Linked DNA regions of Xenopus tropicalis. The protein of the gene in region 2 interacts with the protein of the main gene of each other region in a biochemical or structural test. Links are inferred from orthologs where the notes say so. Each region holds a gene or a part of one and is shown on either strand. Other genes may lie near its edges.

Region 1 (4,181 bases), on a different chromosome or scaffold from region 2:
ACACAACAATCTGCTATGTGTGCCCCGGCCTTTAAAGTGCATGCTCCTTTTTGGAGGAAGGGAGCAGAACTGAAGCTGCCAAACCTGCCTTAGTAAGACTGCTAAGGAGGGGCAGGGCCATTTTGGGGGCAAAGTTGTGGTGGTTAGGGAGGTGGGCTTGTGAAGGCCTATGCTGGCTAAGTGGATTTTTCTCTCTTTTAAAGGAACAGTAACACCAAAAAATGTATATATTTTAAAGAAATTAATCTATTATGTTCTGCTGCCCTGCACTGATAAAAGTTGTGTGTTTGCTTCAGAAACATTACTAGAGTTTATATAAACCCTGGTGTGTAGCCATGGGGGCAGCCATTCAAAAGAAGAAAAGGCACAGGTTATATAGCAGCTAACAGATAAACCCTGTAGAGTACAATGGTGTCTTATCGGTTATCTGCTGTGTAACCTGTGCCTTTTCTCCTTTTTTCCAGCTTGAATGGCTGCCCCCATGGCTACACAGCAGCGTATTTATATAAACTATAGTAGTGTTTCTGTAGCAATCACACCAGTTTACCATTGCAGGGCAACAGCACATTATATTTCAATTACTTTAGAACACTTTCTTTTTTTGGTGTTACTGTTCCTTTAAGGACTGTTAATCCTAAAATAAGATTCAAGCAAATACACTGAATCTCAGAATTTCTGATATTAACAATATTCCAGTATCTGTGTCTTTTTATATAAATACATATTTTTACATAATCATATGGTTTTTACAGACTTGTGTTTGTTTTTTTTGTTTTTTTAAAACCTTAGTTATTGCCACAAATACACTATAAATATAATATCTGTTAAAGTAAGTTTATCGGAGCAAAGACATTAACTAATTTAATTCATGCTGACTTTTGGGACATAAAAATTTTCTAGAAGACCCGTACAAATACAACAATATTTTAGTGGTGGCCCTGAGCTAAAATAGCTAGAATATTGTTTGGATAGTTAAAGTCCTATGTAACATGTCTGTGACACATGTGTAAAAACTTACTGTGCATAAAAGATAACAACTAGTGGAATAAATGAGACAGAAGAAAAGGACATAAGATTAATTGCTTTAATTAATGAAACACTAAGAACACATTACATTATCTGCCCGGAAGGCTAGGGATTGCCTGGGCAGTTTTGATTCCTGTAATGTAGATTAGCCACTTATCAGAGACACCCGCTGCAGCTAGTGCATCTTATTAAGCTAAAGCTCATTCACATAATGACAAACTGTAATGGACACAGGTACTTTACACAGTGCATGGTTTAATAATGGCAAACAGAACACTCAAAAATCTATAATAGGCTCTTAAACAAGAGCAAGTAAATGGGTGCCATTAAGGAGCAGCGACAAAACTATAAAAAGAGAGATATCTTTGTACCACACCAGGGCTCATCCGTACCTCGTCATCGTGTACAAGTTCTTTCTTCACTACTTTCATAGCATAGGTCTGGTCATTCTTTTTTAAGCGCACCAGAAGTACTTTGGCATAGCTTCCTCTTCCAATCACCCGTATAAGTTCAAAGTCTTGAAGTCCTAATCCTTGGGAGATTTTAATCCCATCCATTCCATCAATGACTGGTTTAAGGTCCTAAAACAATCAGAAAGAAATTGTAGCATGTTGGAAAGTGATAGGTGCTAGTGGAAAGTGTTTGCAGCTCTGCCATTTACTGTTTAGCTTCAGCCAAACAAGCTGGGCACATAAGGGCAGATAAATCTGACCAAATGCCTGTTTCTGCCTATGTGTTTGCAACAAAGGAATGATACTTCTAGTCAGGAAAGCAGTAAGACTAACTATATCACAAAGCAAACCCTTACAATAATTGCCCAAAGAGAATATATAGCTGCAATGCTAATCTTTATTTCAATACCAGGTCCCTTACTGGCCAATTTGACCAACCATGTTTGTAGGCTGAAGGGCTGGCTAACTTGCACAGAGCATTCCTTATATGTACATAGATATTTATACAAACACCAGAGGACTATCATGCACTGACTGTGGCATTTACAATCAACATTAATACAGCAGCTTCCTCTATTGTTTATAAGCAGACATTATCATAAGCAGTACTATAGAAACTTCTGTCAAAGGGCACAGTATGTCATGTCAACCAGATGCAGATGGAAGAAAAAACCCAGTTTAACCATTAAGCTATGTCCTAACACATTAAACTGTTTTTTGCTGAGTTATTTAGGCTTTTTTTCTCTAAGGGCAAACCTAGTCCTAGAAACTGCAGATAAGGAGGGACTAACAATAGCTGAGAAAAAAATTCCACAGCACCATGAACTTTCTGATTTTACAGCTATACAATAAAACAGATTCCTTTTTTAGGGCTAGGAACCTGGCAATACCATCTGCTTCTCCCCACTTGCATTTTATAGGGAAAAGGAGAGAAGTGGATGAGCTCTCTTGGGCCTTGGAGCACTGGGACACATCTGCTGTTTGGTATGAAATGATGTGTTATTCTTTGAGGATAATGTGCAAGTAATGTAAAATGTTTAGAATGGCCTGTTTGTGATTATATTCAGGACCTATAGCAGAGCCCCCAAAAGGATACACAGTTCTATCTTCTAACATTTATACAAATATTTTTGTGTGAAGAGATGGTAATTATTTTCAAGAAGCTTCCAATATACTATGAAGTACTACTTTAAGAAAGGGTTAAAAACAGTGACTGTCTGCTTGTGGAAATGTGTATTCTCTGAGAGCAAAATGGTCTTCTCTAACTTTCAGAAGTCCTTTCTCTCCTGCTACAGGAATTTATCATCCAAACACTATTTGTGCTTTAAAGGGGGAACAGAGCTCATTAATAAGGTATACAGACTTACAATGTCCCATAAATTCAGTCTATATAGATTTCTATACAGATTTCACTATCTTTGGACTCTCACCTCAGATCCATCCTTACGATTCTCATGTTTTCTTGGAGCAATAATGGAAACTAAGAGAGAAAAGAAAAAAGTGATTGCTTTTGGTTTTACTAGCACTTTCCTAGGACAATTCATTTTTCTTATTGATATCTGATTAATCACCCAAGTGTCTGAACAGATGCAAGCTGTAATGGGGTTCACATGTTTTTGTTCATATTTCAAAAAGGGCACAGTGCATTTGGTCGTGACACCAGTGCAGACCAAACAGTTATGTAAGTGCAAGCAAAACAAGTTCTCTGTGAGTTTCCAAATGATGCTGGAATGCTGCATAATTTAGCCCTAAATATCTGCACAAGACATAAGCATGTAGAAGGTGGGTACAGTCTCTGACACGGTATGTTTTGTTGCATGTTGAAGATTTTGTATGACATGCAATTAACCTACTTTCATCAATTTCTTCAGAGGGAGGATCAACTTCATCACTTTTGTCATCTACTTGCGGTTCCTGGAAAGGCATGACCAAATCCTGTTATAAACATACACAAGCTGGGGTTAAATTTCCAGACAATCTTGATATTCTCCTGCTCCCTAAATCTAGTGGTGTAAAGAGAGAAGTAATTGTTCATGTAGCAGTAAATTTCTATGACAGCCTGACCCATATCAACGAAAAGAGCAAAATATATCTTCCAATCTTTCAGAAGAAGAAGATATAACCAGAGCTGTGCGTGCCCTGCATCCTAAACACCTTTTTGTCCTTTAAGAGGACTCATCAAGATGCTTGGTACAAAGATTTCTGATAAAGCCTGTCTCAATTAATATGCGCTTTTAACCCCTCCCGGAACAGTGGGTAGGAAAGCTATTTCCTGAGGGAGGAAAAGTCAGCTGGATGATTACAACAGAATAGTCCCAAACTGGTATATTTGGTCAGTTATAGATATATGAGGTCTGTAATGTTATGCTCAAGATGAACGGGAAGGGGCAATTTATATAGTGTGTAAGCCAACATTACCAGTGATGTTGCCCATAGCAACCAATTAGCAATTAGATTTGAATGGTCATCTACAAGTTAGAAAACAAAAACAAAGATCTGATTGGTGACTATAGGCATCATCACCAGTGATGTTGACTTACACACTATAAAAATATGCCCCTAAATGTCCTTGCACATGCAGGAGTGTACAGCAGCAGGACTAATCGTAACTCGCCTATAATTTAGCCAGTAAATGAGACACTTGCTCTCGTGGACAGCAGTCAGACAATATGTATGGCATCCAAACAGGCTAATAATGAGTAA
Region 2 (4,709 bases):
TAGCCTAAGTCCTTAACTGTACAATAAACCCTAACAAAATATCTTCCTCATATCCACTGTACAGTGTCTTAAAGTCTCCCTGTCCATCCCCTCAAGAAGGCCAAGCATGTACCAAATTGGCCTCTGATAATCCTGACCGAATTGGTTGCTTTGAACAGTGAGTGTACCCCAATCAGCCCACTTATAGCTGATCATAAAAACACATCTATTGCAATAAAAAACATCAAATTAGTGCCATCTATTTTTTCACAGTAGTCTTATTTGTCAGATATGGTATTTGGTTGCCAGAGGCAAAAGTCACGACAAATGAAATAAATACATTGCCTTTATGTGTTAGTGCAAACCTATATTAAGGGCAGCAGGAAGTGTTCTCATTTATCCTACTTATTTTCTTATTAATTATTTTATAATCCATACAGTCTTAGATTACATAGGTTAAAAACAGATATCAGTTACCAAAATATACTCTAACACTTTCTTTACACTGCTGACTTTCATCAGATCAAATCTTTTGTTAAACTGGCAAATTCACCCCATTCAGTGAGGTCCCCAAAAAGCGGATCTCTATTCACCCATACCCTGGGCCGAATTGGGCTCTGGTCATTGCCCCTGGGGCAAACAAACGCATCATACAGTGATGCCTACATACACAAGCCAATAAGCTGATAACTCGATCTGGAGGGACCACGTCAGCAGCTTCAATCAGCCTGTGTATTGCCAGCTTTAGGGTAAGTACCTAGACTCAGTCGTCAGCGATAGATCTCTGCTATTGTGGGTGACAAACCGCTCCGAAAAGGCAACAATAGGAGTTGCTTGTGAAAAGCCCCTCTGAACCACTCCATGGGTTCTTACCCTTATGGGTGAAGACACATGGAGCTACTTAGTAGCAACCACTTGTCACAGCTATTAAACACCAGAAAATACCCTGCCATAGACAATACTGAGACCTGCCTCTTGTAAAAAATACATAAAGGCAATTATCAGTAAAAAATCAGCATTGCCTATTGTATTAACCGTGACAAGTAGCTGCTACTAGTAGCTCTGTGTGTCTTCACCCATAAGAGTAAATATATATATATATATATGATCCGGTGCGGTATTGAACTGATTAGCAACTGGGCCACATGAACGGATACTTCTCACGGCTACTAAACACCAGAAAATACCCTGCCAAAGACAAAAATGAGAACTGCCTCTTGTAAAACACATGTAGAGACAATTATCAGTAAAAGATCAGCATTGCTTATTTTAGTAGCTGTGACAAGTAGCTGCTACTAGTCGCTCTGTATGTCTTCACCCTAAGGTGGCCATAAATGATCCTGCGCAGTATTGAACTGATTGGCAACTGGGCCACATGAACAGATACTGTACAAAGGGTCATCCATGGCAGTCACCTTTATATTGTTATCTTCATTTGGAATGAGAGCACAAACAGAAAAGCAGGAAGTGAAAAAGAGACGCAGCTTTCTCATCTGCTGAAGCACTATGCACTGGTGGAAATAGTAAAATGGCAAATGAAGTTTTCCCTGCTAGATTAATGAACCGACAAATATCTGTCATGAGACTGACTTGGTAAAAATGATTTGAGAGGAAATGAGTGGGTGTTGTGGTTTCTCTAACTTGCCTACCTGTCAATACCCAAGCACCCACCCACATGTGGCATCAGCAGGTACATTAAGAGCTTAAGACTGAAATGCAAAGATGTTGCAGGCAGTGTGGTTGATGATAAAGCAGTGTGGCTAAAAATGGACAAACTGCCCCAATAAATATAAGTATGTTTGGCCTCCTTCACATTCAAAACTTCTGTTTTATAGCACTGCGGAATACAATGGCATCTTACATGTTTATGTTAATAATAATGTGTAAGAAATGGATATAAACCATGCTATATACAGAGGTTTCTACACGTGCTACAGTTCTTGCCAGCCTAACAGCACATCCCATTTTATCTCTATAGAGTTGCCCAGAAAATGAATGTCTGTGTGATTTCCGTGAAACCAGCAGAAAGGCATTTACATTCCAACATAAATTTTCCCTCTGAAAATGGAATCCAGCAGAGTGGTGTGTAAATCTGTGTCATGGCATGATATGAAGCTCTGCAGCATGACTGAGGCCTCCCTGTAATAAGTACAGCCCTGAGGTAAATTGCCCTACTACATAGGATAATAAAAATGATGATGGAGGCTGAGAGGATTAGGCAATGATTTAATTGTGTGCATTGCATGATATGCTGGCAGCCAAGCCACAGGTGTTCAAAGCAGAGAAAGGAAGTGACAAACACACCACATTATTTTGCTATCTTCTTCCCTCACTTTACTACAGCTCAGCTTCCTGGGTGGGGGGCGGGGAATACAGAAGTTGTTGGTTTTTTTTTTTTTTTGCCTTCTTGAAAAAAAAATAGTAAGTTGACAGTACATGAAACCGGAAGCGACCTGAGCAAAACAGCAATAGTAGAAAGGGCTTCCGTCAGGCACCAATGGCCCAACTACAATGGCACTATACCCAGTGCCCCCCATTGATATATATATGGTTGTCTCTCCTATTCTGTGGCCCAAATCTACTTGGCTTTCGTTTAGCCTGTGGGCCCCCGGCTACTGAACTACAACTTCCAAGATATCAGTGTTTCCTGGGGGTAATAGTTAATAACAGCTGGAAGGCCGCACGTTAATCAAGAAGTGTTCTCGGTGTAACCTACATCTACTGCAATATATATATATATATATATATATATATACACACACACAGAGAGAGAGATAGATTTCCTGTCAGTCCTGTGTGCAATAAGCGAGCAGCTCCAGGCGCGATCTCTGGCTGCAGGAGCCCATTACATTCCAGTCTGGGGAATCTGCTCCATGGCACCGTGTTTATGGAATGGGAGCGTCGGGGCAATAAAAGCCAATGCTGACCCTGCACGCATGATATACAAACAGGGCATAGGAAGGGGGAGGGACACCCGCTATAGCACCCACCGTTTACACATAAAGGCGCCTCCCGTGGGTCCGAGGACTGCAGAGCGATGAGCAGCGATGGAGAGGTGGGGGGCAGCTCTGGGGAGAGCCTTCAGCTGATCTCTGAGGTGAGGGGGCTGTAGGTGACACCAGGCTGTGCAGTCTTCCTCGCAGCGGGGCTCAGCACCGTATCCCTCCTCCCGCCTAACCAGCCTGCCCCACCCCCAGCAGTGTGTGCAGGTTACAGCAGCACCGGGATGGGGCCGTGGAAACCTTCTTCCTGCAGCGCAAAGAGGTGCAGCACCGTGCGTGATTTCTCCCCTTCCGTGTGGGTGCTGCTGCTAATGTCAGTGCGGACTCGGAGGTAATAATGCGCCCCCTGCTGGAATGCCATTGCATTCTCTCCCCGTGTGCTGCAAACCTGGCTGCCTTAGTTCTAGGGCGCTCACTAGTATGAAGGTGAGCTGTGTCACCTCAGTGGGACGGCCATTAGCAAGAATGCTGTGTACTGTGAAATGTTGGTAATAGTGAGGCAGAATGGGATAGCAAAACTGAAAACTAAGGGTAATACCTCAGTGACATTCTCTGCCATCTCACCAGAAACGTGATAACTGCCTACAGACCTGACACTTTAATAAAGCCTTCAGAAAGGTTTTTAAACACTCATAGCGACCCTGCCCTAAATATATCTTTGCAAAAGTAACAACAGGAATTGCAAGGGGTGGCACAGTAAGATCATGTGCACACAAGTGCTGGAAATCATGGTGACTGCACTGCTTGTGATCCAGCATCCCCCCTAGCTGTATAAAAGGCTCCCCCCATCATAATCCATTAAGAGGAGTCTCCCACATCATCACTTCAGCCCTCTCTGGTGTATTTTGTCCTACTTTTGCCCCACTGGAAGCCAACTTTTTTTTAAACCTGGGAAACCATTACATTTGTTAGAAAAGCGGCCCAGGTGCTATTTATTTTTTATTTTTTTGGTCCAGGTGATCTTTTCACTTCTCATTACCTCCCATTCTCAGGCTACTCTAATCTCCTTTTACCCAATACTGAAGTCAGGCCTGGTACCTCAGTCCTCAGGGCTGTGGAGTTGATACATAAATCCTTCAAGTCCGACTCCTTAGTTTATGGTACCTTGACTCCGACTCCTGGTACCTAAAATTGCTTTTGACTACAACTCTGGACCCACAAATCTATCTCCACAGCCCTGGCAGGGCTATGGAGTCCACACATAAATCCTTTGACTCTAACAGCTCAGTTTATGTTCCTCCGACTCCGGGTACCCAAATTTGCTTCCGATTCCATCCACCCTGCCAGTCCTGCAAGGCAGCAGTTCACTGCTGTGCTGCTAACCAATGAGCAGCTTATCCCCCTGTGTATGGGGACCTCCAACAGCTCTATCCAACTGTTCTCTGACCAAAAATCGACTGTCGATCAGGCAAGTTTGGTTTTTTTAGACAGATCAGGGACCGCATTGGCTCATGGATGCGGTCCTCACTCCAACCACTCCTATCTCTGTTGTTTTAATTAAGCCTGATAGCACCCACTTTACGTGGGCATACTGGGGAAAAATCTGCTTTTTTGGGATATCGCCAAATGAGCAAATCTTATAATGTATGGGCACCTTTACCCAAGACAAATCTTTCATTGATTCTACAATAAAATGGTAGATGCCTTCGACAGATAGAAATGTACAATGCACTTGTCTTACACAGAACATGTGGTGGCTTATTACTGGTTGCTCTTCTGGCTAAGATA
Region 3 (4,181 bases), on a different chromosome or scaffold from region 2:
TATACCCATGAAAAAAAATTATCCATTTACAGTTTTTAACGGACTCTTTGCTAGTTTAGGTTGTTGCTACAGCAAGGCACACTTTAATTAGAAAATAAGAGGCCCAAAGTGTCCCTGCCATATTTATAAAATAGGAAATTTCTGAGTGCCAGCATTGGCACTTTTCAGCATAGCAATTTTATCTGGACTCACCAATAGAAAATCTTTGCAAACACAGCCAAAATAAAATCAGAGGGGACAAAGAACAAGATTGCTAAGTGTCCATAACAGCAAGTTAGCCAAACTAGCCTTACTGGTCAGTAATATGGCTGAAAATGTGCACACAGGTAATCCATTGGAGCTTACATGCAGACCCCTGCCATTCATCTTTCCTTATATAATAATCAGTCAGGGACAGAGCAAGACACAACATTATGTTGGGAAGAAGGTTGACATGAAAAGCTACTCACAACTGTGGTAAACTTGGTTTTACAAAGGGGTCATTTTCAGCTCCATTTACAGCTTTGTTTTTCCGCTGCTTTGGTTCTGAGTTGGCGGAGGGAGTCTGGGAACTGTTTGATGATGGCGGCTTCCGCTTGGCCAGTTGTTTTCTTTGTCTTTCAATATCTTCTCTCTGCTGATTCACCCATTCCTGTTGCCTGTAAATAAACAGATACTTGAACAAAAGGAACAAAAGATACAAGGAAGAATATGCCATTAAAATCTAAATGTGCAGAAACCGGTTTCCAGGCAACACAATATAGGTGCTTACCACTGTATGGAGCCATTCTGATGTAGGCGTATGCAAGAGGTGCTAATGAATCACATATTTTCATGTAATTTTGCCATATCAAGAGTATTTTTTGAATAAACAGCTATATGAGGTTTAATCAACTGAAAATCAGGAAGGTTTCCCAAGGTAGTGACCAATGGTCAGTCTCTTATTTTACAACAACTGTGTATAGTTACTTATTATTTATATATATATTCTTGGTGCTTCTTAGGTCAAACGTTATACCCCTTTCAAGCCTCAATGTCTTATCTGATTTCAACAGACTTCCCGGGTGACCTGGGATGTTCCTAAGCCTAATGAGCCTCAGTCACCTGACTCATTTAAAAACCATAATTTCAGTGAACAAGGGTTGTGTTTAATCACATGCTGCACACTGCCATCTGAGGCAGGTTTATCACTTAGCCTTATGGAAGATTCAGCACTACGTGCGAAAACCATAGTAAAGAAAAACAAAAAAAATAAATAAAAATGCCACTTCAGCAGCTCTCATTCTCCAATTGGAAGCATGCTGTCAATGGCAGATACCAACCAAGGCCGCAGTGTTTCCGAGTTATACCCGCAGAATGGACCAGAACAGGCAAGAATATCTGCCATGGGTACTTAGTTTTCCATTCAAGTCAACTAAAAATCACTTTGTGAGAGGAGTAAGGTGCCCCTGTTCCACATATGACTTCCATTAGACTTAATGAGAGAAGGAAAGTCTATGATCAGGCACTTGGAGGTCCAGAATATGCCACGTGTTCCACAGATCTACAAACTCCCCTGATGATAAATTAAACTAAATTTGCACCCCTTTCACTTGTTACGTATTTTTTTTTTCTTTTTACAAAGATTGTCATAATCTTATCATATGATTGGTTAGTATTAAACATTAGGGGGAATGTATATGTATCTATGCATATAACTTTAGCAGTGCTATATTACACGATATTTTGCGCATGCTGTAACTCTAATACATTAAGCATTAGAATTCTGCACCTTTAAAATGAATTCCTTGTTTCCTGTGTTTTGTTAGGTCCCTGTATCTTTGCAGAAACATTTTGCATTCATTTACATGTTTTCACCTCTACAAATATCTGATAAATCTTCTGTTCTATTAATCCTGTTTCTCACACCTCCCCTTTATTCACTGGCTAAATGTAAGGTATTGTTTGATTTGACTATGCCACGTGTATAACTTCTGTGCTCTAAGCCCCAGCAAGGTCCTCCCAACGCTTATTTCCAGCACAGCCCCATGACATCATTTGGCTCCTATTCTTATTGCCTTCAATGACAAGAGAAATTTTAGAGATTCCATAACAAAAGACTAACTTGACAAGGTTTTGGAAAGCGAAGCCATCTGTCCACTGTTCAGTAAAAGAGGCTCCATGCCGAACTGTGGTGAAATGTCCTAGCCGTAACCTGTCCTGCATGCTCTTCTCTCTGCTTGCCAGCTTCTCCTGGGTGCTCTGTAAGAAATCAGGCAAAGTGGCTTATAGTTTAGCACATTTAGTTTGCTCTATCTTTAACACACTTTTCATCACATTAGACTTTTGTTGTTTTTTTTTCCTTCTGCTAAGGTGTCCTGTAATAAATAATTATATTTGGTGTGTTATTGCATTAAATATTTACTTAACATGGAACACAGGGCATTGGCCCCACTGAACTAAATGGTAATCTCCTGGATTCTGCAGGTGAACCTTTGGATCAAACCTTTAATGCTTGGAAACACTTATTTAGGTCAAAGAAGGAACATTGCTCCGTGTGCCATTAGAATCTAGCATAGCAAAACTGTTTCCTTCCCCAGAGATGCAGGCTAACACAACAATACTATTTTGGCCAGAAAATGCTCCTAGTGAGCACTATACTGCCCCACACTGGGAGGGAGCATCCGCATGTGGGTAGCCATGTTTGATCACACACATGCATAATAAGGACTCTCATTATGTGCATTATGTAAAATCTGGGGATTTCTCCCTTCATCCTAAATCGTGAGCGATTTGGGACATTTATTATTTTTCTCATACTTAGAGTCCCAACAAGACTGCCTGGACAAGGAGCTACCTGACAGAGCAGGCGACATAGTGTTCGCTAGGAGCATTTACTGGCTTCCTGGCCAAAAGGTTCCATTATTCCCCGCCCAGGGCTGGATTTAAAGCTGATGCACCATAGGAGATTCGCACCGCCCCCCACCCACCCACTCGAACACCCCTGCAGGTGGGAGATTCAAACAACTGTCAAAATGATTCACTCATTCACCCAATCCCCAATTGAGATGAGCCCAGCATGCAGTCCCTAATTTTTGTGCTGCCCTAGGCCTGGCCTTTATGGCCTGCCCAACGCCTCCAACAGGGGGAATAATTGTACTATTAGAGGTGCCCTTTGAACTAAAAGGGCTAAATATATTTTCATATGTTGTTTAGCTGGGTAATTATGGGCAGTGGAAGGAAACAGAAAGGGAAATAAGGGCACCCTTTCCTCTGTGAGTGCTACATAAAGCTCAGGGACTAATTAGGTAGAAAATGTGGATACACAGAAATGGGTTGATTTGTGCCAGAGCTCATTTTCAAATCTAAAAATCTTATGGCCTTTTCTGAGAAGGAAACCATTAGTTATCCTGCTGTAAACCAGTCCTGAACATTGCTAGGCAATGGAGTTTATTTATGGGAAAACAAAATTGCCATAATTCTGAAAAGAAATAAAAATGTTGATTACTCATTCTGACGTGACATTTACACTTTCCCCCTGTCAAATACATAGCAGTCCTGTCAGGCTTTATGTTTGGACATGTAACCATCTCTATAATAAGCAGATCAGAGCACAAAAGGTAGCAAAGTGTGGCCTTTGTTATTTCTAACCTGTCAATGTATCATACATTAGCCAACAAGAGAGTGTGGCCAAAGTGCCCACAGTTAGAGACCATGGCTATCTAACCAATCATCATCACCACATGTGACGGCCAAACTGCCACCTGACCACCATGGAAAGCAGAGGGACTTCAACTCCCAGAATCTATCACTTCTTGAAGTTCCATGTAGCTTAGAGGGAGCATTTGTGACTGGGCATAAAAATTTGACTGCAAAATTTCTGGCCTGGGGCAAGTCCAGACTTGGAATGTTGAAACATTCTGGGGCACAGCAGGAATTAGTGGCAAGCAAGCAGCAATTCCCCAGCACTTACCTTTTCTATCAGGAGTTTTTTGCTCATTGAAATGCACTTATTTAATCTCTCTTTATACTTTTCAAGAATTTTTTGCTGTTCGTCTATTTGTCGCCTAAGGTCACAGTTAGTCTGCAAAGAACAAAGACAAATACTATCAGTCCAAAAGCAAACATTCTACCCAGTTCTCTATAATTCTTACCCAGTTCTCTATAATTGTTATAAATAAAAAAAAAAAAAAAGAAGAAACAGGAAATATTGACAGTGTAAA

The links.
Region 1: of the proteins of mbp (region 2) and prkcz, one has a biochemical effect on the other in vitro, tested with the Homo sapiens proteins (2 studies listed by BioGRID). The link is inferred for Xenopus tropicalis from reciprocal best matches to the Homo sapiens genes MBP and PRKCZ.
Region 3: the proteins of mbp (region 2) and tlk1 form a complex in vitro, tested with the Homo sapiens proteins (2 studies listed by BioGRID, with this or other methods). The link is inferred for Xenopus tropicalis from reciprocal best matches to the Homo sapiens genes MBP and TLK1.

The regions. Positions count from the first base shown.
Region 1 is NC_030683.2:91,420,394-91,424,574, forward strand, and holds part of prkcz (protein kinase C zeta type), read right to left. Parts: intron 3,414-4,181; coding exon of another isoform or gene 3,393-3,413; coding exon 3,332-3,392; intron 2,959-3,331; coding exon 2,909-2,958; intron 1,608-2,908; coding exon 1,419-1,607; intron 1-1,418. UniProt on the Homo sapiens protein: Calcium- and diacylglycerol-independent serine/threonine-protein kinase that functions in phosphatidylinositol 3-kinase (PI3K) pathway and mitogen-activated protein (MAP) kinase cascade, and is involved in NF-kappa-B activation, mitogenic signaling, cell proliferation, cell polarity, inflammatory response and maintenance of long-term potentiation (LTP).
Region 2 is NC_030682.2:98,825,100-98,829,808, reverse strand, and holds the start of mbp (myelin basic protein), read right to left. Parts: upstream 3,165-4,709; 5' UTR 2,970-3,164; intron 1-2,969. UniProt on the Homo sapiens protein: The classic group of MBP isoforms (isoform 4-isoform 14) are with PLP the most abundant protein components of the myelin membrane in the CNS. They have a role in both its formation and stabilization.
Region 3 is NC_030685.2:67,966,885-67,971,065, reverse strand, and holds part of tlk1 (serine/threonine-protein kinase tousled-like 1), read right to left. Parts: intron 4,043-4,181; coding exon 3,932-4,042; intron 2,221-3,931; coding exon 2,084-2,220; intron 639-2,083; coding exon 450-638; intron 1-449. UniProt on the Homo sapiens protein: Rapidly and transiently inhibited by phosphorylation following the generation of DNA double-stranded breaks during S-phase. This is cell cycle checkpoint and ATM-pathway dependent and appears to regulate processes involved in chromatin assembly.